Schizosaccharomyces pombe: one gene and its partners. The protein of the gene in region 3 interacts with the protein of the main gene of each other region in a pairwise test. Each region holds a gene or a part of one and is shown on either strand. Other genes may lie near its edges. The genes, in order: tea3, ntu1, ypp1 and hal3.

Region 1 (6,548 bases), 1.3 Mb from region 3:
GCAATGGCGTCAAGCATGCTCTGAAGAATATGCGAAACAATGTGAGCGTGAAGTCCTGCACACTGTCGATTTTATTCGGGAAAATGAAAAGGACCCAGAAAGGTTAGTTGAAGTTGTAGATTCCAAAATCTACGATAATGATGGATTGGTACATGAGGTTTGTGTTAGTGATAAAGCAACAGGAAAAGCGAACAAGCGAAGCATTGTTTACATGCATGGGTATGGAGCTGGTCTTGGTTTTTACTTTCGGAACATGGATGGTTTGACTAAGGGTGTGACAAAGGATTTTAATTCTTATTTTGTTGATTGGCTAGGCATGGGAAACTCGTCAAGACCGCCTTTCGATATCAAGGGGCAAACCGCTTCAGAGAAGGTCGAAGAAACAGAGAGGTTTTTCACTGAGTCATTAGAAACATGGAGAATCGGTCATGGTATCGAGAAAATGATCCTTGTGGGCCATAGTATGGGAGGTTATTTGTCTGCTGTCTACGCCATGCAATATCCGGAACGTGTTGAGAAACTCTTACTAGTTAGTCCAGTTGCCATTCCTGAAAACCCTTTTGCAAGCAACGATGATGCGGAAGTTTACAATTCCGTTGCTTCCTCTGCTGTGCATGCTGTTATGGATGAACCTCCTTTAAGTAATGTTACTAATGAGGTTCTGCAAACCCAAGAGGAAACTACAGGTTTAGAGCCTTCCCGGCCAAGCAAGCCAAAGAATCCTCTTCCAAGATTTATCACCTTCTTATGGGAGCAAAATGTTACACCATTTTCTCTACTTCGTTTAAGCGGGCCTTTAGGTCCTAAACTAATGAGTTTTTGGTCTAGCAGAAGGTTTTCAACGCTTCCCCCGGAAACGTTTAGGGCATTACATAATTACTGCTACTCAATATTTCGTCTCAAGGGTTCCAGCGAGTATGCACTTGGCAATTTGCTCGCTCCCGGAGCTTTCGCTAGACGATGTATTATGAATCGCTTGCGCATGTTGAAGTGTCGAACTATATTCATGTATGGAGATAAAGATTGGATGGATGATGTTGCTGGTTTAGAAGCGACAAACAGATTGAAGGAGATGAATATTGAGGCGGAGCACCACATAATTTCAAATGCTGGTCACCATTGCTATCTTGATAACCCTGAAGATTTTAATGAGATTGTACTAAAGGAGATACGAATGAGTTTACGTTCTTTTTCTTCGATTTCAGAGTAAATTTTTATTTTTTATGCCCTTCGCTTAGTGCTTCATTATTTTTATTTATTCTTTCTTGTCCTGCAAACTATCCCATGTGATGCTGTTATAGACCTCATTCATTAATTTATACTACACATTATTCTTTGGATTCCAATTGAACGACTTTTTTTTACCTAACTTTTTATCGGTCCATTTTGAATCGATTTTTATTGCATTGACGCTCATTTGCTTCATTTATCGCAATTTTATTTTTTTGTCCGATTACTTGTCCAGCATGTGTTTTCAAATGTTTTATTTTTAAAATGTGCCTTATAAATCAAATTTTGTAATATTTGTAGGCCATTTACTACAATTAGCTTATAAAGTAAATAACAGTTTTTGTGGTTGTCTATTTTAAATTCTATCCTATAGAGTAATTGGAAAAATACATTTTTCTTGCTCTAAGCTTTTCAAACGTGAAGCATATTTCGTACTTCTAAATTTCAATTCAAACAGAGCATTCAACGGTAATGTATACTATTGCGCTTAAACTTGTATCTACTCTCCCTTCTTTATGTTTAATGAAGATATAAATTATAAACATCATACAGTATTACAAAAATTTATTGTAGGGTATTGCAATTGTATTCGTTGTTCTAAGACTTCTCTACTCTAAGTTGCCGTTTCCTGATGGACTGTGTGTTTCCATTACCCTCCACAAGTTATGCTCTTTTCATATTATTTCGAAAATTTTACTTTTTAATTCTTTTTTAAAACTAAAATATATATTTTTTCTATTTTATTTCTTTTTTAAGCGTAAAAACCGAACCTTTTAAAAAACTCCTTGGATTAAACTTTCGCTTTGATTACCATCTGCAACTGCAAAACCAGTAAGCGATTTTGCAAGGTAAAGATCGCAATACATGGTTCAAAAGGTTTTAAGCCGTCAATCGGATAACTCTCAGGATGTGTCTGCTGAACAGCTTGATGTAGTGGAATCCGGTAGCATTGATCAGCAAAATATACGTGCATGGGTTGTTCGCAAAGTCAAAGAAAATGATAAAAGGACATCTACGAACCAAAGTTTTAAATGGGAAGCTGTAAAACCGGCTTCTTGTCTAGATGCTGCGAATGAAAAATTCATGTACTTACATGGAGGACGAGAAAAATCTGGTATTTCAAACTCTTTGTTTAAGTTGGACCTGGATTCATGCACGGTTTATTCTCACAATAGAGGGGAAGACAATGATTCTCCTGCTCGAGTTGGTCATTCTATCGTTTGTTCTGCTGACACTATTTATCTTTTCGGAGGATGCGACTCAGAAACAGATTCCACATTTGAAGTTGGCGATAATTCATTGTACGCATACAATTTCAAGAGTAATCAATGGAATTTGGTTTCAACACAGTCCCCCTTACCATCGCCTCGCACTGGACATTCTATGTTGTTAGTTGACTCTAAATTATGGATATTTGGGGGTGAATGTCAAGGAAAATATTTGAATGATATACATTTGTTTGATACCAAAGGGGTTGATCGGAGGACGCAATCAGAACTCAAGCAAAAGGCAAATGCAAATAATGTTGAAAAGGCTAATATGGAATTTGATGAGACTGATTGGTCATGGGAAACACCGTTTTTGCATAGCTCATCCCCTCCACCTCGTTCAAATCACTCAGTTACTCTTGTCCAAGGAAAAATATTTGTACATGGAGGGCATAATGATACTGGTCCATTAAGTGATCTTTGGCTTTTTGATTTAGAAACACTTTCATGGACCGAGGTTCGTTCTATAGGAAGATTTCCAGGTCCGCGGGAAGGTCATCAAGCTACTACAATAGATGACACGGTTTACATTTATGGTGGTCGTGATAATAAAGGGTTGATACTCAACGAGCTTTGGGCTTTTAATTATAGTCAACAGCGGTGGTCCTTAGTCTCAAATCCGATCCCTATTTTGCTTTCTGATTCATCTTCATACAAAATTGTTTCAAAAAACAATCATATTTTACTATTATATCTTAATGCACTTGACGCTCCTAAGCAACTGTTATGTTATGAAGCAGATCCCAAAAATTTGTATTGGGATAAGGATAAATTTTCTGATATTCCTGTTCTTCAGCATATTAGCATGAAACCTTCAAATGCTTCAAACCACACGGTTTCTCTTGGTTACCTAAACGACCGTCCTAATCATTCCAAAAAGAATTCTGTGACATCCACCTCGTCTAGTCAATTTAACAATTTTTTGGAGCAAAATCAAAAAGCCGTAAGATCAGCTAGGCATCGGCACTATGCTAGCTTGGATGAACAAGGATTACATTCTTTGAGAAACCTTAGTAAAACCTCTGGAATGAATCATTCAGCAGATTTCTCTCTTCACGAGTTTGGGCAAGCTGACCCCTTTGCTTACGAAATTGAGAAACCTATTGCGTCTCTTCCTTTACCTAATGGAAACGATACTATTTCTAGGTCTTCCGAATCTTCATCTCCAATCAACGAAAGTGAAAGTAATTCTCTGCTTAAACTCCAATCAGATTTTAAGTTTTCTAATTCTGATGATCGTGTAGCTTGGCTTGAGGAGCAACTGTTATATTGTATGCAACAAGGCTATACTCTCAAACCTCCTAACCTGTTTCAACACGTTGATGAAAAATTGAGGCTTGAGAAAAAAGAGCAGCTCAGTTATTTGGAAATACTGAAGGTGATTGAGCAAATGCTTGAATCTAATGAACAAAAGTTTAAAAAGCAAATCGTTAGCCTAGCATCTGAAAACGCAAAATTGGCTGCTCAGAGAGATGCTGCCGTGGAAAATGCAAATTATTCACGTTCACTGATCCAGAAAAAGACAACGGACGAAACTGTTGGATCTTTAATAGAAAAAGTTGGAAAGTTAGAGTACGAAGTTCAAGGGACTCTTGAAGAGGCAACCTCTTATTATCAAAAAAATACTGAACTTCAACAGTTATTGAAGCAAAATGAATCCGCTTCTGAACTCTTAAAATCTCGAAATGAGAAACTTTGTGTAGATTATGATAAACTTCGTAGTGTGTTTGAAGAAGATTCATCAAAAATACTATCTTTACAAAAAGAAAATGAAAACCTACAATCACAGATATTGCAAATTTCAGAAGAGTTAGTCGATTATCGTTCTCGTTGCGAGGCTTTGGAGTATGGAAATTATGAGCTGGAAACGAAGCTAATTGAGATGCATGATCGAGTGGAGATGCAGACAAATGTGATTGAAGCATCCGCTAGTGCTCTTGATGTGTCCAATACTGCCATATTGTCTTTTGAAGATTCGCTCCGTAGAGAAAGGGATGAGAAAAGTACGTTGCAACAGAAGTGCTTAAATTTACAGTACGAATATGAGAATGTTCGGATTGAGTTGGAAAATTTGCAATCTCGTGCGCTAGAGTTGGAGTCAGCCTTAGAACAATCAGTGTCTGATGCTAAATACTCGAAAGCTATAATGCAAAGCGGATTATCAAAGTTATTATCTTCTATTAACGAAAATAAAGATAATCTTAAAGAGTTTTCGAAGTCGAAACAAAAGATCTCCTACTTGGAGTCTCAGCTAGAAGGGCTTCACGAGTTGTTACGTGAGTCCCAGAGACTTTGTGAGGGTCGCACTAAAGAGCTACTAAATTCTCAGCAAAAGCTCTATGATCTAAAGCATTCATATTCCTCTGTAATGACAGAGAAAAGTAAACTTTCTGATCAGGTCAATGATCTTACCGAGCAAGCAAAAATTACTCAGCGTAAGCTCTCTGAGGTACAAATTGCATTGGCTGATTCAAAAATGAATCAACAGTTATCAGGAAAGGACTCTACTGACGTTCATCTTCCTACGGACTTTTCAGCTTCCTCCTCTCCCTTAAGATCATACTTTAACGAAGAGGATTCATTCAATAATGCTAGTGCTGCACATAGTTCAAAAGAATCTGACATACCTTCTGGTGGTGTGTTTACAAAATATCGTAATCATTTTGGTAATTTGATGACATCTGAAGAAACAAAAGCCCCGGATAACAATGATTTACATAAAAGACTTTCTGATGTTATCAACAGTCAGCAAAAATTTTTGTCTTTGTCCCCTCAGGTATCTAAAGATTATTATGATGTTCGCTCAAAACTAAATGATACCGCGGGCTCATTTTCAGGTGAAGAAATGCGTGCAATTGATGATAATTACTATGCCAGTCGTATTAAGCAACTGGAGGATGATTATCAAAAAGCCATAACATATGCCAATTGCTCAGATGAGTCATTTCAGCAGCTTAGTCATTCATTTATGTAACTCTATTCATCAACTAAGGATTTTTTATCTCTTTTTTGGTTTGTACAATTTTCTTAATAATTTTTTGAAGTGGTTTGATTTTTTCTACTTAATCTCAAGTCGTTTGACTACGTATGTAAATTACCACTATATTTAACAATAAAATACGCAATTATTTCTACTGCATTTACATTGACTCATTTATATTTTAAAAAGTAATGAAATTTAATTAACTTTTAAAAAGTAAGAGAAAATTTAAAGTATTAGATTGATGAGGATACTCTCAAGTGCAAATTACTAAACTGGTATTAAATGCTAATTCCTTAACCACGCGAACAAAGCATATGATGAATTACGTAGAAATAATTAAAACAAACAAAGACCTGCAAAAAACCATTAAAGATTCATCCATTTTTTTCAAGGGTCAAATTTGAAGTTTGCTCTGCAGTATGCGAAGACTGCTCAGAGACATTAGTAGGGCCTAGCAGTTCCGTCCAACTCAAAAACGTAGGAGCCGTCCATTGTTTATCAACTTCCAAATTGAGAACTGGATCCGGTAGAAAAGTTTCAGGTGTGAGCAAACTGGGTTGGTTACTAACATAACTTTTGTTTAGACCCGGAACATTATAGAGAGATGATGTTTGGTCAAAAGGTTGGAATGCTTCGTTTGGAGTACTATTACTACCATTTGAGCTTTCTCCTGTAAGCTTAAAGGTAGAAAGCATGTCTCCATGTGACATATCTCCCACCCAGGATTGCCAATTTTGAAAACTATTTTGGAAATCTGCAATCGGATTATTAATGTCTGGGGCATTGCGCCTAGATAACTGTTTGTTAAATGACTTAAGGTAGTTTAGACTTTCTCTAGCAAATTCACACCTTGAACTCAGAAATTCCAATACCTGCCATAATTTTGTGACTACAGCTTGAATATCCTGAGAGTTTTCGTAATGAAGAGACAAGAGTAAAATAGGTGCGCTTGCAAATGGAACATGCAGCCCGAAAAACGATAAGCTGGACAAACACTTATGTGTTAATAAAAGATGTGCTATGTTTATGACCCTTGTTGCGCTTTCAACACATAGCTGGATGTAGCG
Region 2 (6,907 bases), on a different chromosome or scaffold from region 3:
GAAATTTCAGACTTTATAGCATCCTCCTTTATAGTGCTTTCGTCAGTTTGCTTTTGCTCAGCTGCATTGGGTAGTACGAACATCATTTGTAAACCCGCTACTTCGAGTATAGATCTAGTAGATAATTAGTAAGACGAAAAAGAAATAAAAAAAAATAATTGGCATAATTTCCTGCATTTATTTGAACTAGGACGGAAATAATTATTTTCTTGATAATTTGACAAATCCTTAACGCGCATTTATAAAATAACCAAACATTCGTTTAAAATTGACAAATAACACGAGAAAACCATAGAACTTATGAAAGAGTAAAGCATAAATTATGCGCTGCTGAAACCATCAATATTCCGTCCTGTCGCAAATCACGACGAACCAACACTATTCTAGTAAATGATTTTTAACATACCCACTTGTAAGCTTGACTGTTTCCCCATTCTTGAATAACTTGCCATCTACTTTAATGCCATTTCGACCGTAAACTGAGCAATTCCATGTTTGGTCATCCAAATCATATTCCACAACAGCGTGTTTTCGACTCACAACTTTAGAAGGACCAAAATTCATATCAATTACTTCTAAATCTTCATTTTTCCCCTTTGGTGAAGGATTTGCTGGTTCGCGACCAAGTATAATTCGAATTTTCTTAACATAATAAGTCCATGTACTTCCAGCGAATTTCGCATAAGCTTGTATTTCTCCAGAGTGTCTTTCCGCATTTTTACTGTTCGAATAATCATCGACCACTCTCATTTCGTGAGGTGGAACGGACAACTTCGCAATTTGGGATTCCAGGCGACCATTCAATACAATGTTACGATCTGTGTCTACATCCATTTGCTTTTTGTAATCTAACTGTTCTTTTCTCTCCTCGTCATCTGATATATGCTCAGACTTGCTTTCGAGTCTGCGAACAGTCATTTTTCCTTTCTACAGCAATTGTGCTGTTGGTGTGTGTTTATTTACACTCGTTTGTTGTTGTCAACATTCGTTTACCTTCCGTTGCCAGCGCTTCACGGTATAACTAATATTGACCATCATTTTAGATACATAGAAATTAAAATATACATTTTTCTAAATATTTGTACATTTTTTATTTTTGTCAACAATGCGTCTTTGTTATCGTTGCTATTTATATTTTTGTAAACAATCAAGATACCGGATCTTCGATATACTTTTTTAAATACTAAGCAGTTAAAAAAATCCTCTTAATATATTGGCGTAGGATTAACTTATAAAAAAAAAAAACTCAAACAATCATAACTCTGCAAGACTTGTAATAATTTTAGCTTTTCAGCACTCAGTGTTTTTTGCACATGTAATGGCGTCTAACGGTCGCGTGCATATCCTAGTAATTACCCTATTATTTAAAACGTGTCTACTGAAGATTTATTTTGAGAACTGTACAAGCTATTACATGAATACACTAAGAGTATTAATTGTGTTTTATGGAAATTCCGAATCATTATTTCGCTTTCAATCAACCGATTTTGTGTGGCTGCAATATTAACGCTCAACTGTTTACTCACGTTATTTTCCATATTTTTACTAACTACGCGATTCGCGAAGTCTCTGTAGGATACGTAATATTATTTGGTGAGTTCGTAGCGCACTATAATGTGTGGTACACAACAGAAAGTATTATGCAATATACAGTTACCGAACATAACTCAGGCACGGAGAGACTTTGATATTATAATAAATAATATGTGGCTTACATGAACAGACAAACTTGATCTTGAATGATCTTTATTTCCCATACTTTTTTCTTCAGTAATATTGAAAATAGTCAATAAACGGCTTGATGGTTCCAGCTTCAGGACTCATTGGAGAACTCACACGTGAAGATGTCAGGCTTATAACGATATTTAACATACCGCAACAAAAACATTTAGCATGGTATAATCTCATTGCTTCACCTACACATGTATGCTAACGTGAAGTAACGAGTAATTACTATTTAGCGGATGTATACGATCGCTGGCACACACTCTCGTAGGTTTAACCTGTCGCGTATATCATCCATAATCGCTTCGCAGCGATCACCATTTATTTATTTATTTACCTATCTAAAGCACCAAATTCCTTTAGTTTCAAAGCGTTAAATTTTGAATGATAAACTGCATTTTTGCTCACTTGCGTTAACTTTCGGTTGTAAAAACCGGTAACAACGATTCGATAAATACAAATTAAAAGACCTGTTCTCCCTCAAGTTTGAAGTTAGCAGGCTTCAACATAGTTTATTGATAGGCTGCTGAATGTCTTCCGGCGATGTATCTCGTAGACAGCGTGTTTCTAGAGCATGTGATGAATGTCACAGGAGAAAGATCAAATGTGATCAGAGAAGGGTAAGATGTCAATTTCTTTGCTCTATTTATGTTTTGCATAATTTTATTATTTGAGTTGGGAACTGAGAACTCACTTCACCCAGTTACCGCTTTCTCTGAAGTTGATTGTAGCTTGATTGATTTCAGTTCAGCTAGAGAGCATGCGGATAACCTTTGTCGTTAATTTATTATTTTTTTGGCTTTTATTGCTCTTTTTCTATCTTATTTGCATTAATTTGGATGAGCGATTAGAAATAAATATAAATTTCTGTTCTTTACTAACTTTTTCAGCCTTGCTCGAATTGCATAGCATATAACTATGGTAAGTGCCTACAATTTAGATGAGATTATTTTCTTCAAGTTTAGTCGCTTTAAAATTTATTTCAAGCCTCTATTATAATTGGATGGAGTTTTCTAACTTTGTTGAAGAATGTACTTATGGTCAACCTTTTAAGCGATTACGGCATGCTCCTGAGAAGTATATAGAATTTTTGGAGCTTCGATTGAAATATCTGAGGGGACTGGCTGAAGAAAGCGATCCAAATTTAAAGTTGCCATCATTTCTGGCTCCTCCAAATGACAAAGATTCTCCTGTGAACCAATCTCCTTGGAAACGCTCTGATTCCTCTAAAAGAAGCTCGTCACAGGACGAGTTTGAAAGCTTATTCGACCGGTATGGACAATTGAGTTTAAAAGATGATGGGAAAGCCGACTTTCGTGGAAGTTCCTCTGGCTTTGTCTTTATGAAAAATATACATCAAAACATTGCGAGGAATTCTACGGTTCCCAATCCTGTCCAAGAATCTAATTCATCTTCTTCTCAGCCAGATCCTTTATCTTTTCCGTATCTTCCACCCACCCCTGCCGAAGATGAACATAAAAAACCGCCTCTCAAAATTCAGCTACCTCCATATGAGGAGGCTCTTTCTATTGTTAGCCAATTTTTTATGAATGACCATTTTTTGGTACATATTCATCATCCTGCATCTTTCTTTGAGAAGATGCATATGTATTACAAAACTGGCAAGACTGATAACAATTTTCATTTTTTACTTGTCGCTACATTGTGCTTGGGTTACACCTATATGCCCGATGAATCTCCTAGTGCTAACTATCCTTATCATGAAGCTTACGAGTATTACTATTACATTCGGTCTTCATTTTCATGGGAAGATAGTTATACGATTGAAGTTGTGCAAATTTTATTGTCTGTTGCGCTTTTTGCTTTGTTCAGTTCCCGACTTTCTCAAGCTTATACGTTCACGAATAATGCGTTATTGTGTTGCCACGAATTGGGATTGCACAAGGATTTTTCAGACGTTCTCACATCTCATGAATCTCGGTTATCCAAACGGGTATTTTATTCTGTGTACGTTTTGGCTTGTTACACCAGTACAATTGTTGGTCTTCCTCTCAGTATTGAGGACGTTGATATTGATCAATCGTTACCCAATTCTTTTGATTTCACATTAGAAAATGACCAGGTTCCTCCACGATTAATAGCATCAGAATGCACTAGCTTGGAAGTTTTTATACAACACATAACGCTTTCTCGTATTTTAAGTCATTTTGTAAGGAAAGTGTATCCAGTCAAATCGCCCTCTGACTCACACTGTAAAGTTTCATTACCAGCTGTTCGTGATCATGAAGAAAAACTTACATATTGGTGGAAAAACTTACCTTCTTATTTAAAAATGAGCGAAGTTCCAAAATTTTCACCCAAATGGATCCAAGCAATAATACTGGAATTGAAATTCAGGCAAATAGAACTCATTTTCTATCGCCCTTTTATTCACAGTATTAGTACACCAATTGATAATCAGAATGGGTCGCCAATGAAACCTGCAAATTTTGCTTTAAAGTGTGCACAATCTGCGGAGCGTGTTGTTTTTTTGTTACAGGAATTGGCCAAATCTCCAAATACTCCCAAACTGTTTTTCAATTTGTATTCTGGATACTACGCGTTAATGACCTTGACATATTGTGCTACTTTGACGAAGGACGATGCCAATAAATCTAATAATTTCATAACTAAGGCAAGATTAGGATTTCATTGTCTACAAATGATATACCGCGAATCCACTTACTATAGTACAATAATGGAGGCAATCAAGAACTTGCTAATTGCGTATGATATGAACTCATCTGGTACTGAAAATTTGGATGCGACCCCGGATGTTACAGGACAACTACCAAACAACTTTTCGCAGAGAACTAGTAATATACCTAGAGAGTTTCCGCAAGCACAAATATTTTATTCAGATGCTCCTTACCCAGGTTACTATAATCCTGCCCAGTTTCAAAATGCACCAACAAATTTCCCTATGCCTACGTATGGTGGGCGTACACAGGATCAATCTTATCCTAGACAAAACGGATATCCTTCCTATTCTGATGGTAATGTATACCCTCATGATAGGGTTATGATTAATTATGGTTCTTCAATGCCAACAGCGAATGGTTTTTATGTTCCGAACACCTATTCTCCAGTACCTTTCCCGTATAATACTTCATACCCTCCATACATGAGTCCAACTTCGAATATGCCTCAGGCTTTCCAAGCATATTCACAGTATCCTTACCAGCACCCGCCTTTTCCCTTGTCAGAACAAATGCTACCACTGCCTACTTCAGGGGTTATGATGGCACCTGGAGCTGCAAAATCTGGCATGCCGTATCCCTTCATTCAACCACCTTCCATGACTAACCAAGTTGCTTATCCTACTGTCCGAGATGGTTCTAATAATTCTCCTGACCATCCAAGTTCCTCAAACTCTAAAAGAACCGAGTGAGCGATCAATGTTGTTAAGCATAGAAACTCACTTTTGTTTTCAAAATTTTTTTTTCTGCAATAATTCTTGCTTCACTTTTTATCTTTAATAAGGGTTCTAGCTCCAACTTTTAGGGTTTGCTCATGAGAAAAAACATTGACATTTTTAAAAAACTTATTTTTTGTTCCTTTTAATTAAGTGATATTTTGTTTGGTTGATGATTAGCTTTTTATGTTTATTGAATAATAGAACGATTGAATATCTAGATTATCTGTCTTCCTAGATGTTTGTGATAGATTTGCTTTTTGATCTTTTGATCAAGCTTAGAGAGTTAGCCTACTGCTTCATGTCCATTAGCTAGTGATATTTACGCGCATTATTATCAGCAATGAATAACCAAGTAGTGTTAAAAGCTAAAAATTTTGGAGTAAAGTTACGTTGAAGTTCTACATTATAATGGATTACTGCAAAGCAATTGATGAACTAAAAACTTTAATAGTGTGCATTTTCTTTCACGATGGAATGTATAATTACTAAAATGACAATTAGCTGTTTATTTTGTAAGCAACTGCAAACCCAACTGTGGAACGTATTGTTGAGTACCTTTGGCATCTAGGCTAAAAAAATGATCCCTATAAAAATCTTCTAAATAAAAGCTCTGCGAAAAAAATGGTATCGAGATCTGATGCTTACACTGTATTTTAGACGTTGAAGAATTTAAATAATTAAGCCTGCACACTCAATATTTACCACCACACAACGTTGACACCGCCTTTGCATTCATAAAAATGTTTGCAGTAAAATATTAGTAGTCTCATCGATTCAATTGAAGCATAATCCCAGCTTAAAAGTTCGATGGTTATCAGGTTAATACTGAATGAAACCTTTAGTTTGTGCGTATAATTTTTTATGGTGAATTGTATTTTATAGAAATATCCAACTTTCTACTACAGAAGAAATACCGTAATTAGGTAAATTATGGTTGGGAAATCTAAAAATAGGGCCCACAAAAATATTCGAGCTAGATCTTGTCTGAGATGCAGGCGCCGAAAAGTCAAATGTGACCGCCAATATCCTTGTTCTCGATGTAAAGAGAGTGAAGAATCATGTACATATGGAGTAAACGAGCAAGCAGTCCAACTTCTTGAAGAACCTTTAAGCCGACCAATTACTAGAGAAACAGATAGTTCTGCTCATCAAGAGACTCGGACGCGTTTGGAAGAAAACAACCTCCCTAAAACCCAGAAGTTTGGATTCGTAGACTGGAAAACAATTTTGAAATCTTCGGCTGAATTTCAAGGTATTGTTCAGAGAGATCCAGAATCACGTTTAAGAGAAGCTTTAGAAACGGATCCTAAATTGAAAAAACGATTAGAATGTATTTTAGAAACTATCCCTCCTTGGGATGTATGCGAAAGCCTTTTAAAAGTTTATGCTAATACTTTTAATGTAACAAATTATATTTTAGATTTTGAGCAAGCTGATAAATTGTTATCTGATCTGAAAAATTCTAACCATGTTTTCGCGACTTCTATTATTTTAATAGTTACAGCAATTGCGGTAGCACTTTCGTTAGAATCCTTTCCTTCAAATATTGAAAGATACTTTTCGGCTGTTAATCATAGCGCCATTGAACTATCGGATGCATTAAATTCAAAAATTGATGACTTTTTAAATGAGGAGGTAATATTTCGACTATGGAGAAATATTGACAGAATTCGACTGCATGCTATAAGGGCGCAACTTTGCATGCGAAACCAGTTTCGAAGTATGAACACTGATCTATGTTATGCAATTCATTACGCATGTTTT
Region 3 (6,045 bases):
TTGTGGTTTTCTTATACGGAAAAGATACAGAACAATCCACGGCTAAAGGAGATCCTCATCCAACAACCCGAGAAAGTCTATCATTTGGATGAACGGATACTCATCCAAAACTTTCAAGAATTGTGTTTTTTTTGCTTCTATCTTCAATGCCCTGTATCGAACTGAATTGCGATTGTCATTAATTTGCCTTGCTATGCCATACCAAGCCAAGCTATTTTAAGCAAACGGTTTAGTTGGACTCCAATAATAAATGCTTTACAAAAAAGAAATGCGATTGATAAACTAGAACACTCTCCAATGTATGTCTACCAATTCCTAAATACTTTCAATTCGCAACATTCTTATGGCCTTTGTGGTCGCTTCAATTCGGCTTTGAAAACCGGGTTAAAAGGCATCGCATAAATTTGTATCTTCCAAAACAGTTGATTTTATAAAAAGCTCATAAATAATTTCTCAGCGCGAGCAAATGGTAATTTCTTTGAAATCAGCGCCTTTGGAATTTTCATTTTACGCCTTATTGACATTCCCATCGATATACGTAACATGTTACTCCATGATACATGGTTTCAGCTGATGCCAAGGCATCGTTGCGTAAGCATTACGAAGGAATATGATGATGGAAGGAGGCATGGGTTGGGCAGTTTCTGCAGTCTGCTAAATTTAAATAGTCTGCCTATATATATTAAATCTCTCGCACTTTTATGACCTTCCCTCTCCCATACATATTTGCAAGTTTGCGTATAACGTTGCTTTCTAACACAATTTACTTTTAATCCACTTCAAACACTTGGTTTAGCTTTTAAAGAAAAGCTTAGGATTTTGCTACTGTTTGTTACGAGGAATTGTTGCAGAAGAATTCAATTTTTTTAAGTCGTATTTACCAACGATTTTATTCAATTTAAAAAGTTTGACTTTCATAGGCTGTTGCTTAGTTTATCGTCAATTCCTTGCGTATTGCCGGAACCTAGTTAATATCTAAAAAAACACAAACAAACCAAATTCCAAAAGTGGTTGAAAATTGCCGCTTCGCTACTTTTACTATCTCCGGGAAAGAAGACCTGTAATTTAATTTTTTCTTCTTCTTCCAATTCGTACTATTAATATTACCGCTAGTTTCTTCTTATTCTTTCGCCTACTACTTAATTGTTCAATATGCAAATTACTCGTGAGTCAAAATACATTATTGGGCTCGTCTTAGCCTTGGGTGTAAGCTTTGCTACCCTTTTGGCTCATTTGTTTACCAAACCATCTCTTGAATGGGTTTACAATCACCATGCCACTCCATTTTTCGCCAACAAGTTCATGCTTGGTGGCTACCTCTTGGTCGAATACTTGTCTTTCCTTTTGATGATTGTGCCCCTTTTAATGCTTGGTGATCAGGTAAACGATTTTACCTTCTCCATTATTCACACATCTATCTGGTACAATGTATTTGTCGTGTTTACCGTCTGGGCATTTACCCGTGAGAAGCTGTACTGGACTGCATTCTTTTCCTTGTGTCTATTCTCATCTTCTTTCACCATGTACGGCCAATCGCTTCGCTTGAGAAATGGTTTTGTTGAGATGATTAGCATGAAGTTGCCCTCGAAACTTGTTTTTGGCAAGTCTCTTTGGTTCGTTGTTTATGCCTTCTCTGCCGCTTTACACTGCACCGGCATTGGTTGCCGCGTCTTTTCTAATGTGTTTATCTGGTTCTTTGCCGCCATGTATCTTGTTCCTATTTTAGGATTCCATGACTGGGCTCTTTCCCTCGTCAGCGCATACCTTTTCCTTTCAATCGGTATTGGACAAATGTTTATTCACCTCTTTGCCTTGCAACACATTTTCGCCTTTATCATTGCTGGTCTCATGACCCTTTTCGCTGCTCTTCTCTTCCTCCTTCCCTACAGACAGAGACGCGCTGCTTTAACAGGCGAGAGTGCTCCTTTGCTTCAGGACAACAACGCGGGACCCGCAGTTTAAACTCTTGTAGTCTTCTGCATGTTGTTGCTCCGTTCTACTAAATAGTATGATAATGAATTTGCTTAATTGTATTATGTTACACTTAACTTTAGTATAAAAATTTAATTTTTCTCCCATAAATCTTTCGACTCAAAATTCAGGTGGATAGCAGATTAAAGCATAGTTTTGACGATCAACTTCATCATGGTTAATAGCACCCTTCTTAGTATAAAGTTGCTTCGTGTGCTAACTTTACAAGCACTTCATTGACGAAGACATCCAGCTTATTCTTATATGGATCACGAAAGTGTCATCATATTCAACTATTCGTACTCTGGCTAACTTGTACGCTAATTATTTAATCTTATTTGCTTCATGTATTTATTAAAGAACCCTTAAAGCAAAAAACTTGGTATACACTACTTTTTCTTTACTTAGCTCAATATCTCAATTACTTTCTCATGCCGACGGTTACGCACCTCCATTCAACCTTGGCCTACTCCATATATCGAACCATCAAAATTCCTTCATCTTGGTATTCTTGAGGCGTTAAATACCTTCTTTAAACCTTTTCTTTTTACAATTCCTTCGTTTTTCTTGTTACTGTAAATATATATCAATTTATTTAAAGTTTGCGTTCAAAGTTCTATAAACGAATTTTACGTTCCAACTACTGCGTTTGACCTTTTTTTTCTCTTTATATATACAAATACCAAGTTATAAAAAAATTCATGTTTTCCGTACGTCTAAACTATGAGTTTTCATACTGACTGATATAGGCTAAAGCAAAAACCTATGAACTAAAACTAGAACAAACAAGATGTAATGGAGATTGGCAGGCAATTCCTGAGGTTGCTAGAAAATTGCATAAGCATAACTCTTCAAAGTCCTGTGAGTGATTTACAGTCAAAGTTTTCCACTTGTCATCTAGACTAACCTTTTTTTAGTCGTTTGTGAATTAGCAAAAATTGAAGCTTCTCTTAAATCAGCATTAACTGCTGAACTAAAAAATATTGCAAACGTTTTGGAGCCTAAATTAATAGATAATCAGTATTCCCTAATTCCGGCTTTACCCAGTGCTCGTACCGACCCTCTTCTAAGTCAATTAAACTCATTGAACATTCAAAATGCCACAGAAGATGAGAAGCTTCAGGAGACATCCATACGCTTGTTATTATACATTGTACAGCGTAAATTTCCCGAAGCCGTAGATTTAGATTGGTCTCCTCAAGGAATTCCGTGGACTGAAACTTCCACTGGTATATGCATCCTACAAGCAACAGTGCTATCATCGCTAGCTCAATATGCTCAAGCTAACGATGAAGTTGCATATCAATACGTTCGTTCGGCCATTGGCTTAATTCAAAATGCCAATATTGGCAAGAAGCCTTTACCGGAACTTACAAGATGGTGCGATCTTGCATATTCATTGTATGCTCAAATGTCTGTAAGCGCTTGTTCGAGTCAATTAGAAAGAGCTAATATACTTACTACATGCTTGAGCTATTTTACCGAGCATAAGTCCGTGAATTTGCTTTATAAACTAGTTACCAGCAGACAAGCTATTAAATATTTGGAACATATTTTAAGAACTAATACAAATGGATCAAAAATTTTTACTAAAAGTCCGGTTAAAAATCTTTATTTAAATTGGCCTCAACTTGTCCTCGATTATGGGTCTTTGTTATGTAACTTTACCTCTTTTCCTAAAGCTGGTGATCAAAACATGTTCGCCGTTGAATTTATTGAACTTGCAACATCAATATGGATAAACACAGAGAAATCTTACGATATCACTGTCAGCTTGATTCGAATGCTTTATCAGCTTACTGGAAAATGCTTCCAAGCACAACAAATTTTTCGTTCTTTGGTATTTTTTTTAAGGCATATTGAGGAATTTGAAGAAGCTAGCGAGGCTTTTGAAATTTACAAGTTTCTATGCGTAAAATCTCACGAACGGTTAGCAAGAAAAAATTCAGATGTCGCTGGCTCTTTTTCTGATATCAAACCAGTGTTTGTTGATGAACCGAAAAGTATTATTGAAGTATGCTCCGTTATGATGACCGTTTATGCGCAATATCTTCGTAATTTGAAAAAAGTTTCTGAAATACTTGATTATATTACAAAAATTGCTTCTGATTATGATTTACTGAAACGTGACGATATTGCTCCTTTAATTTATCATACAGAAGGAGTTGCTTATTCTTTCATGTATTATCAAGCTAACAACCCTTCGTTAAGGGAAAGATATCACCAGAAGAGCGTCCAATCTTACCAGAAATGTCTAGAAAAGCAACCAACCAATACAAATGCACTTTTCCATTTGGCTATGCAATATTCGGAGAGACGTGCCATTACTGATGCAATGCAAATTGTTCGGCGACTTCTTGAGGTGAACCCTAAGTACAGTATTGTATCTTGGCATCTTTTGGTTTTGTGTGTGTCTTGTTCTGAACAATACGCAGCAGGAATTAAGCTGATCGATAGTGTATTTGAAACTTGGGGCATTAATCATGTCAATGAAGATGGCACTATTGAGATTAGTTTGACAAATTTGACATTTAATGACCGCTGCGCTTTGGTCGATTTATTGATTACGAAACTAGCTCTTTTTGAAGCCGAAAAAGGCGTAGAAGCTACTCTGGATATCCAGGATGAAATATTTACATTATTTGCTAGTATTTTTGATTTGAATGAGTACAGGATATCAAAGGAAGGATCGTCAGATGAATTATCAACGCTTTTAGAACGATCGACTATTCAATCCATTAAATCATCCAAGAAAATCTCTAAAGATGTGGAAAATGAAAAAGGAAGTATTCTTGGGTTTTCCAGGAAATCATCGCTTAAGAGATCTACTGTTTTAAGCAAAAAATCCCACTCTTCCTATAAAGAAAATTTTCAGTTACGTCGTGGTAAAACCGTATCATATCTCAATCAGAAGCTTTGGCTTACCGCTGCATCTCTTTTCCTTAAAAGTGGAAATGATGATCAAGCACGAAGCGCTTTACTAGAAGCTAAAAAAATAGACCATGAATGTGCTTGGGTGTACTATTTAAATGGTTTATCTTTACTACAACAGGGAAAAGAAGTTGAAGGGTATGAGCAACTTGACGTTGCTCATTATTTAGACCCGGAGGATCCCTTAATTTCGACGGCCCTTGCAAAGTGTCTTTTACAAGGTGGCTATGGGCCTATGCATTCTCGTAGAAATAGAGCAGATGCTATTTTATCGAGCTGTACTTTGCAGTATGGCTGGGATCTACCAGAAGCTTGGTATTATACTGCAGAAATATTTCGTCAACTCGGTGATTTAAAACAAGCTGCGTTTTCGTATGATTATTGCATCCAGCTAGCTGATACAAACCCTGTACGCCGATGGAGTAACTTGCAGCCTAGGTTTATGAACGTTTAAACTGTCTACATTTTTTGGACTTTTATTATTTATAAATTGAATTTACAAACTTTAAGGCACTTTCAATAGTAATTTATATGTTTCCTTTGTAGTGATTGTAACTTCAATATGAACTCACATAATAGACATAAATAGATAAATGTTATTTATGACATTGTGTTAAATTAATAACGAAGCAATTGCACCTTGAATCAGTATCTATAACAGTCTTCTTTCCAAATCACCAACAAACAAATAGCATTAGATAATTGCACCGAAAATAACGATTCAAGGACATTTCAAAATTAGCGATTATTTGGTCTGTATTTGCAGCGTCAAAAAACTAAGAGCTTTCAGGAGTGTTGTCTATAACATCTTTGGAAGATTCAGTATAGGCAGAGGATCTTGAATAATATTGATCCAAAATCTTCTTAGGAATACGAGTTAACATCTCACGAGGGAAGATGCGAAGGAGGGACCAAGCCAAATCCAGTGTTTCAAAAATAGTACGATTCTCGTAAGCACCTTGACTAATGAAAGTCTTTTCAAATTTACCCAAAAATTCAAGAGCAAGGCGATCTTCTTGAGAAAGGGCTTCCTCGCCAACTACTGATTTCATGGAAGCAGCATCACGACCGATGGCATACATTGCATACAGCTGGTTAGAAACATCACCATGATCATTTCTAGTCATTCCTTCACCAATGGCA
Region 4 (5,296 bases), 820 kb from region 3:
AAGTTGCAACAATGCAGCGATCGAGTACGACTGAACTGCTGTACTAAGGAAATTGCTAACATAAGTTGTAGCAACCTTCTTGGTTTTACTTCCAGCGTCATATTCGACGTGAGGTGCAGTGCTCATTGCCCTTTTCCAAATATCGCCCATTAGGGGTCCATAAACGAGGAAAGAAGCAGCATGGTCGAAGGCAATCCCCAAGAGAATTGCACTAGGGCGTACATACGGCATGTGAGTGTAGGATGGCATTTCTTGTATTAATATTTAGTTTGAGTTAGAACAAGATTAATATGAATGTGAATATTTTGTAAAATAAATGTTTTGTAATTAAAGGATTTAAGGGCGCTACCACTAAATATATAGTATACTCAAGGTCCAATTATGGATTTAGGTACAGATTAATTTGGGGCGTCACTTTGACGTGTCGATGAAGTATGATAATTGGGAAATACTGCTTAGCCTGACTTGACTTGTTTTAAGTCGCTATTTCGCTATTTACATAGTGATATCTACATCATTTTCCTAAACTTTTGGTGGAGCAATATCTCATACTGTTCGGATGCTGTGCCAAGTCTTGCATAAAGAAATCAGTGAAGTCGATAAATATAAGATTTGGAGTGCAGCGATGGTAACAACTAGTGATTAAAAATAGAAATTTACTACAATAATTTTCGCATGTTTTACATTAAAAAGCCCTCACAGAAGAATCAAAGTTGGATTGAAATTCCAGCACTAAAACAATGTAGCTTAGAAATTTTGTTTGCTGGCCCACATTTGATATATTGCAAGCTTGATCTTACGCAGTAAACACTTTTAGGGTAGCTATCGGTTGTTCACACTATTGCGAACAGTGCGTTGAACGACATTACAGCAGCAAGTAAACCTAACCTAGAGGAATAAGAAACAGTCACATTTGTACAACAAGGGTTTAGCAGAGAAACTTTATGCTGTCGAGTTCCTAATCACCACCATCTAACCATCACTTATAAAAGTATCAAAAAATGGTGAACATTCCCAAGACCCGTAAGACTTACTGTCCTGGTAAGAACTGCCGCAAGCACACTGTCCACAGAGTCACCCAATACAAGAAGGGACCTGATTCCAAGCTTGCTCAGGGTAAGCGTCGTTATGACCGCAAGCAAAGTGGTTTTGGTGGTCAAACTAAGCCCGTTTTCCACAAGAAGGCTAAGGTTACCAAGAAGGTTGTCCTTCGTTTGGAATGCGTCTCTTGCAAATACAAGAATCAATTGGTTTTGAAGCGTTGCAAGCATTTCGAGCTTGGTGGTGAAAAGAAGACTAAGGTATGTCGAAGAATGCTGATAACGAGTGGATTGGATTTAGACGAATTTGTAAAAGAGTTTTTGCCGTGGTTGAATACCTCTCAAATCCAGAAAAAAAATTTTGCAAAGCGCTTTTATGAATTGTCTTTTGTTGAGTTTCATCCTTATTATCGATCATTTTCTTTATTTCATCTACTAACAATCATTTTAGGGTGCTGCTATCCAATTCTAAGTGTTTTAGCAAATACAATTTTCTTCTTTTACGGTGATCCTAAAAGCAATTCAAAGTAGTGTTTCATTTGTATTGTATAAATAATGACATGATTCCGATAGAGTAGCACACAAAGTGATGAGTTGTCATCAATTAGCAGTTCGCTAACGCTAAGGTCTGTTCTCAATATTGGAGCAATCTTTTTCGAGTGTTTCTAGTTCCATCGGTTTGAGTCAGAGCTTTTCAAGACTTGTATTACTGCTTGAGTAGAAGACAGGTGTTGTGATTTCGGAAAATAACCCATCACATTTGTCAGCATGTTAACTAAGATAAAAGTAATCAAACAAGTACAGCGTAAAATAGCGAGAGTACTAAAGCATCAAATATGCTTTCAAGTATTGCAAAAAAATTTTCTTTAAATTATCCATGCTTACGGGTCTTCTAAGGTTTAGGAGACTATGCCATTTGCCGAATTATGGATATATTAAGTAACTAATTGCTAATAGTGAGAGTGTAGTGCATCCTTGCATAACGGCACTTGGATTTCACACTGCAGGCATAATAAATAATTACTTTTTTTTGGTACTAAAGCAACGTACGTTCTTTGTTTTTCTGCGTACGACGTGTACAATTCCCTTGCAAAACTAAGGTTCGCTTGTTCAATTGCTAAATTTGTTTTTGTGGACGACCATTATAACGCGCTTCAATGAGTTTATAAAAGTTTCATTAAATTGCAGTACCAGATAAATCGATATCTAACCTTCTCCCTGCATCTATAATCTCTAGCTTCACCAACATTAAGGCCCGTCAATTACTTTCGTTTCGTTGGCCAATATGTCACAACCTTTGCATGCCAGGTTTGCTACCAGGGCTGTAAAAAATCCCATGATCCTTGAGAAAGAGCGACAACTTACGGATTCTAAATATCATATTTTGGTCGCTGCAACGGGTTCGGTTGCGGCGATAAAATTGACATTAATCGTTAAATCCCTACTGACATACAAGGGCGTCGACGTTCAAGTCGTTTTAACGGATCCGGCTCGTAACTTTGTTGAGAAAGAGGACTTAACGGCTTTGGGTGTCAATGTTTATAACAATGCGGATGATTGGAAAAATTGGGACGGACTCGAATGTCCTATCACACATATTGAGCTACGTCGATGGGCACATCTTTTGTTAATTGCCCCTTTAAGTGCAAATACTATGGCCAAAATGGCAAATGGTCTCTGTGACAATTTACTTACCTCTCTTATACGTGCCTGGGCCCCTTTAAAACCAATTCTCTTGGCTCCCGCAATGAATACCTTGATGTGGACTAATCCTATAACTCAGGAACATTTGAGCGCTATTAGCAGAATATACAAGAATAGTGAATTTATCATGCCAATCGAGAAAGTGCTTGCCTGTGGTGATATTGGCATGGGCGGTATGGCCGAATGGAGAAACATTGTAGGCAGAGTTGCCGATAAATTGCAGCTAGAACAAAAGTCTGTCTTGCCGAACGCTGTGAAAAACATCGATGGACAAGATGATGACTCTAGTGAACAAACTGCTGCTTTTGAAGAGTACGATGATGATGATGATGACGATGTTGATGATAATGAACAATCCAACAGTATGATTGAAACTTCTGCAAATGCAGATATTACCCCCAAGGCCTCTCTTTTACCCTCTACTACAGAATCTTCTATAAGCAAAGATCACGAGACCTCCCAAGCTCCATTAGGCTCGGAATCGGTGGATACTCAGGCCTCTGAAAATGTTACTACCAAACCCGAACCTCCTGTACCATTTACTTCCTCCGAATATAGAAATACAGAAGAAGAGCAATACCTAAATTTGATTCGATATATCCTTGAAAATGGCCAGTCGCGGCCCGATCGCACGGGAACTGGTACGAGATCGGTATTTGCTCCTCCACAACTACGCTTTTCTTTAAGGAATAATACTCTACCTCTTCTCACTACAAAGCGTGTTTTTTTACGTGGTGTGCTTGAAGAGTTACTTTGGTTTATTCACGGTGATACTAATGCCAATCATTTAAGTGAAAAAGGGATTCATATATGGGATGGCAATGGCAGTAGAGAATTCCTAGACAGCAGAGGGCTTACTGATCGTAAAGTTGGTGACCTCGGTCCTATATATGGTTTTCAATGGAGACATTTCGGAGCGCAATATGTTGATTGCGATACTGACTATACCAATAAAGGAGTGGATCAGCTGGCTCAGGTTATATCTACCCTCAAATTAAACCCTTATGACCGTCGTATAATTCTTTCAGCTTGGAACCCATTAGCTATTCCTGAAATGGCTTTACCACCTTGCCATATATTTTGCCAGTTTTATGTCAGTGAGCCTTGCAAGCCTGGGGGAAAGCCCCAACTTTCTAGTATGATGTATCAGCGCTCTGCCGACATGGGGCTTGGAGTTCCTTTTAACATTGCTTCTTATTCTCTCTTAACACATATGATAGCTCACATGTGCGGCTATGAAGCTGCCGAATTTGTTCACGTAATGGGTGATTGTCATATATACAATGATCATTTAGAGGCATTACAAACTCAGTTGGAAAGAGTTCCTAAAGCTTTCCCTAAGTTGTTTTTCAAACGTGATGCTAAAGACATAGGGTCTATTGATAGTTTCAGCGTTGATGATTTCGCAGTTGAAGGTTATAATCCTTATGGCCCTATTAAAATGAAAATGAGTGTCTAATTATTAGCCTTTCTTATATACGTTTGCTTCGTTGATGATTTTTGAAGTTGAAACACAATTTCTCTGTAATAGATTTTTTAGTTAATGGATATCAAAAGTTTAATAGCGATTGTATATGTTCATTTATAAAAGTTGCTAAAGCTTATTTAAAAGAAACGACAAGATGTTTAAAAGGATATTATGCTGTTAATTACTAAGACCAGGAGCAAAATTATGCGTAAGTTTTAATGGTCGTTTGTTCTGTAGCATTTTTACCCATTTTTCGACGCTGCCGTTCTTCATAATGCTGCCGACGTAACATAACCCGCTGCTTAATCAAATCAGAACCCAGCTTATCAAATTTATAAAAACTATTATTTGGGGTATTGGAAAGGCTAATGTCAAGCGCTGGTATGCTCACGTCAGTGGAAAATATTGGGTAATATACTTTCGAGATCTGCTCATCAAAACATAACTTTATGTATTTAGAAGATGCAAACAAAGATGCTGGTGGAGGACCAACGAGGATTGAAGATATATATTTGCATTGTAGTAAATTCAAGATACGCTCTAACAGATTAAGCATAGGCTTTTCGAAACATTTCTCATCCGCGAAAATACCTGCCATAATTGGAATACCCGGAAACATTCGAGTACAGAGTTCTAAAGCAGAAATATGCTTCTCTGTAAACAAATCCCAATCACCATCAATGTATATTATGTTCTTTTCGGGATTCAACCTTAGCAAGGTTGTGCCCGAAATAAGGGTTTCTGGCTTCTCAGTGTTATATATAAAAACATCAGTAAAAGGAGTTAGCCCGTCGGAATCAGTTGCAAATCTTCTGAGGAGATCAATTTGGGAAGAAAGTACCGATACAGGTGTAGAATAAATCTCTAAAGGAACCGAACTAAGTAATCGATCTAGGAGCTCGGTAGTGCTCACTCCCTCCGTCCTTTTAACTTCTAAGTATTGGTCTGCTGCTTTAGCAAATCTATAACAATCGTCTCCATTGGCGTCTGTAGATATATCGTCACCATGTACAACATACTGACACCCATATCTTCTCATCCATTCCAAATCAAACACATATGGTGCAGAGGGTACCACTTCATC

The links.
Region 1: the proteins of ypp1 (region 3) and tea3 interact in a two-hybrid assay, tested with the Schizosaccharomyces pombe proteins (one large-scale study listed by BioGRID).
Region 2: the proteins of ypp1 (region 3) and ntu1 interact in a two-hybrid assay, tested with the Schizosaccharomyces pombe proteins (one large-scale study listed by BioGRID).
Region 4: the proteins of ypp1 (region 3) and hal3 interact in a two-hybrid assay, tested with the Schizosaccharomyces pombe proteins (one large-scale study listed by BioGRID).

What each region holds. Positions count from the first base shown.
Region 1 is NC_003424.3:3,213,614-3,220,161, reverse strand, and holds tea3 (cell end marker Tea3), read left to right. Parts: upstream 1-1,888; 5' UTR 1,889-2,094; coding exon 2,095-5,472; 3' UTR 5,473-5,649; downstream 5,650-6,548. Other genes in the region: cardiolipin-specific phospholipase Cld1, read left to right, coding at 1-1,210; DNA-binding transcription factor Thi1, read right to left, coding at 5,856-6,548. UniProt on the Schizosaccharomyces pombe protein: Acts as a cell end marker required for efficient new end take-off (NETO), whereby growth is activated at the cell end to generate bipolarity in extending cells. Also required for proper placement of the septum.
Region 2 is NC_003423.3:4,241,745-4,248,651, forward strand, and holds ntu1 (regulatory protein ntu1), read left to right. Parts: upstream 1-2,000; 5' UTR 2,001-2,255; coding exon 2,256-2,345; exon of another isoform or gene 2,346-2,413; intron 2,414-2,615; coding exon 2,616-2,646; intron 2,647-2,753; coding exon 2,754-5,116; 3' UTR 5,117-5,682; downstream 5,683-6,907. Other genes in the region: DNA-binding forkhead transcription factor Fkh2, read right to left, coding at 1-114, 407-918; SPOM_SPBC16G5.17 (transcription factor), read left to right, coding at 6,074-6,907.
Region 3 is NC_003424.3:4,541,402-4,547,446, forward strand, and holds ypp1 (cargo transport protein Ypp1), read left to right. Parts: upstream 1-2,434; 5' UTR 2,435-2,672; coding exon 2,673-2,681; intron 2,682-2,720; coding exon 2,721-2,832; intron 2,833-2,888; coding exon 2,889-5,356; 3' UTR 5,357-5,545; downstream 5,546-6,045. Other genes in the region: SPOM_SPAC637.03 (uncharacterized protein), read left to right, coding at 1,153-1,962; vma2 (V-type ATPase V1 subunit B), read right to left, coding at 5,679-6,045. UniProt on the Schizosaccharomyces pombe protein: Involved in endocytosis.
Region 4 is NC_003424.3:3,721,508-3,726,803, forward strand, and holds hal3 (thymidylate synthase), read left to right. Parts: upstream 1-2,248; 5' UTR 2,249-2,325; coding exon 2,326-4,203; 3' UTR 4,204-4,414; downstream 4,415-5,296. Other genes in the region: SPOM_SPAC15E1.02C (uncharacterized protein), read right to left, coding at 1-249; rpl42 (60S ribosomal protein eL42), read left to right, coding at 1,002-1,301, 1,492-1,512; ect1 (ethanolamine-phosphate cytidylyltransferase), read right to left, coding at 4,415-5,296.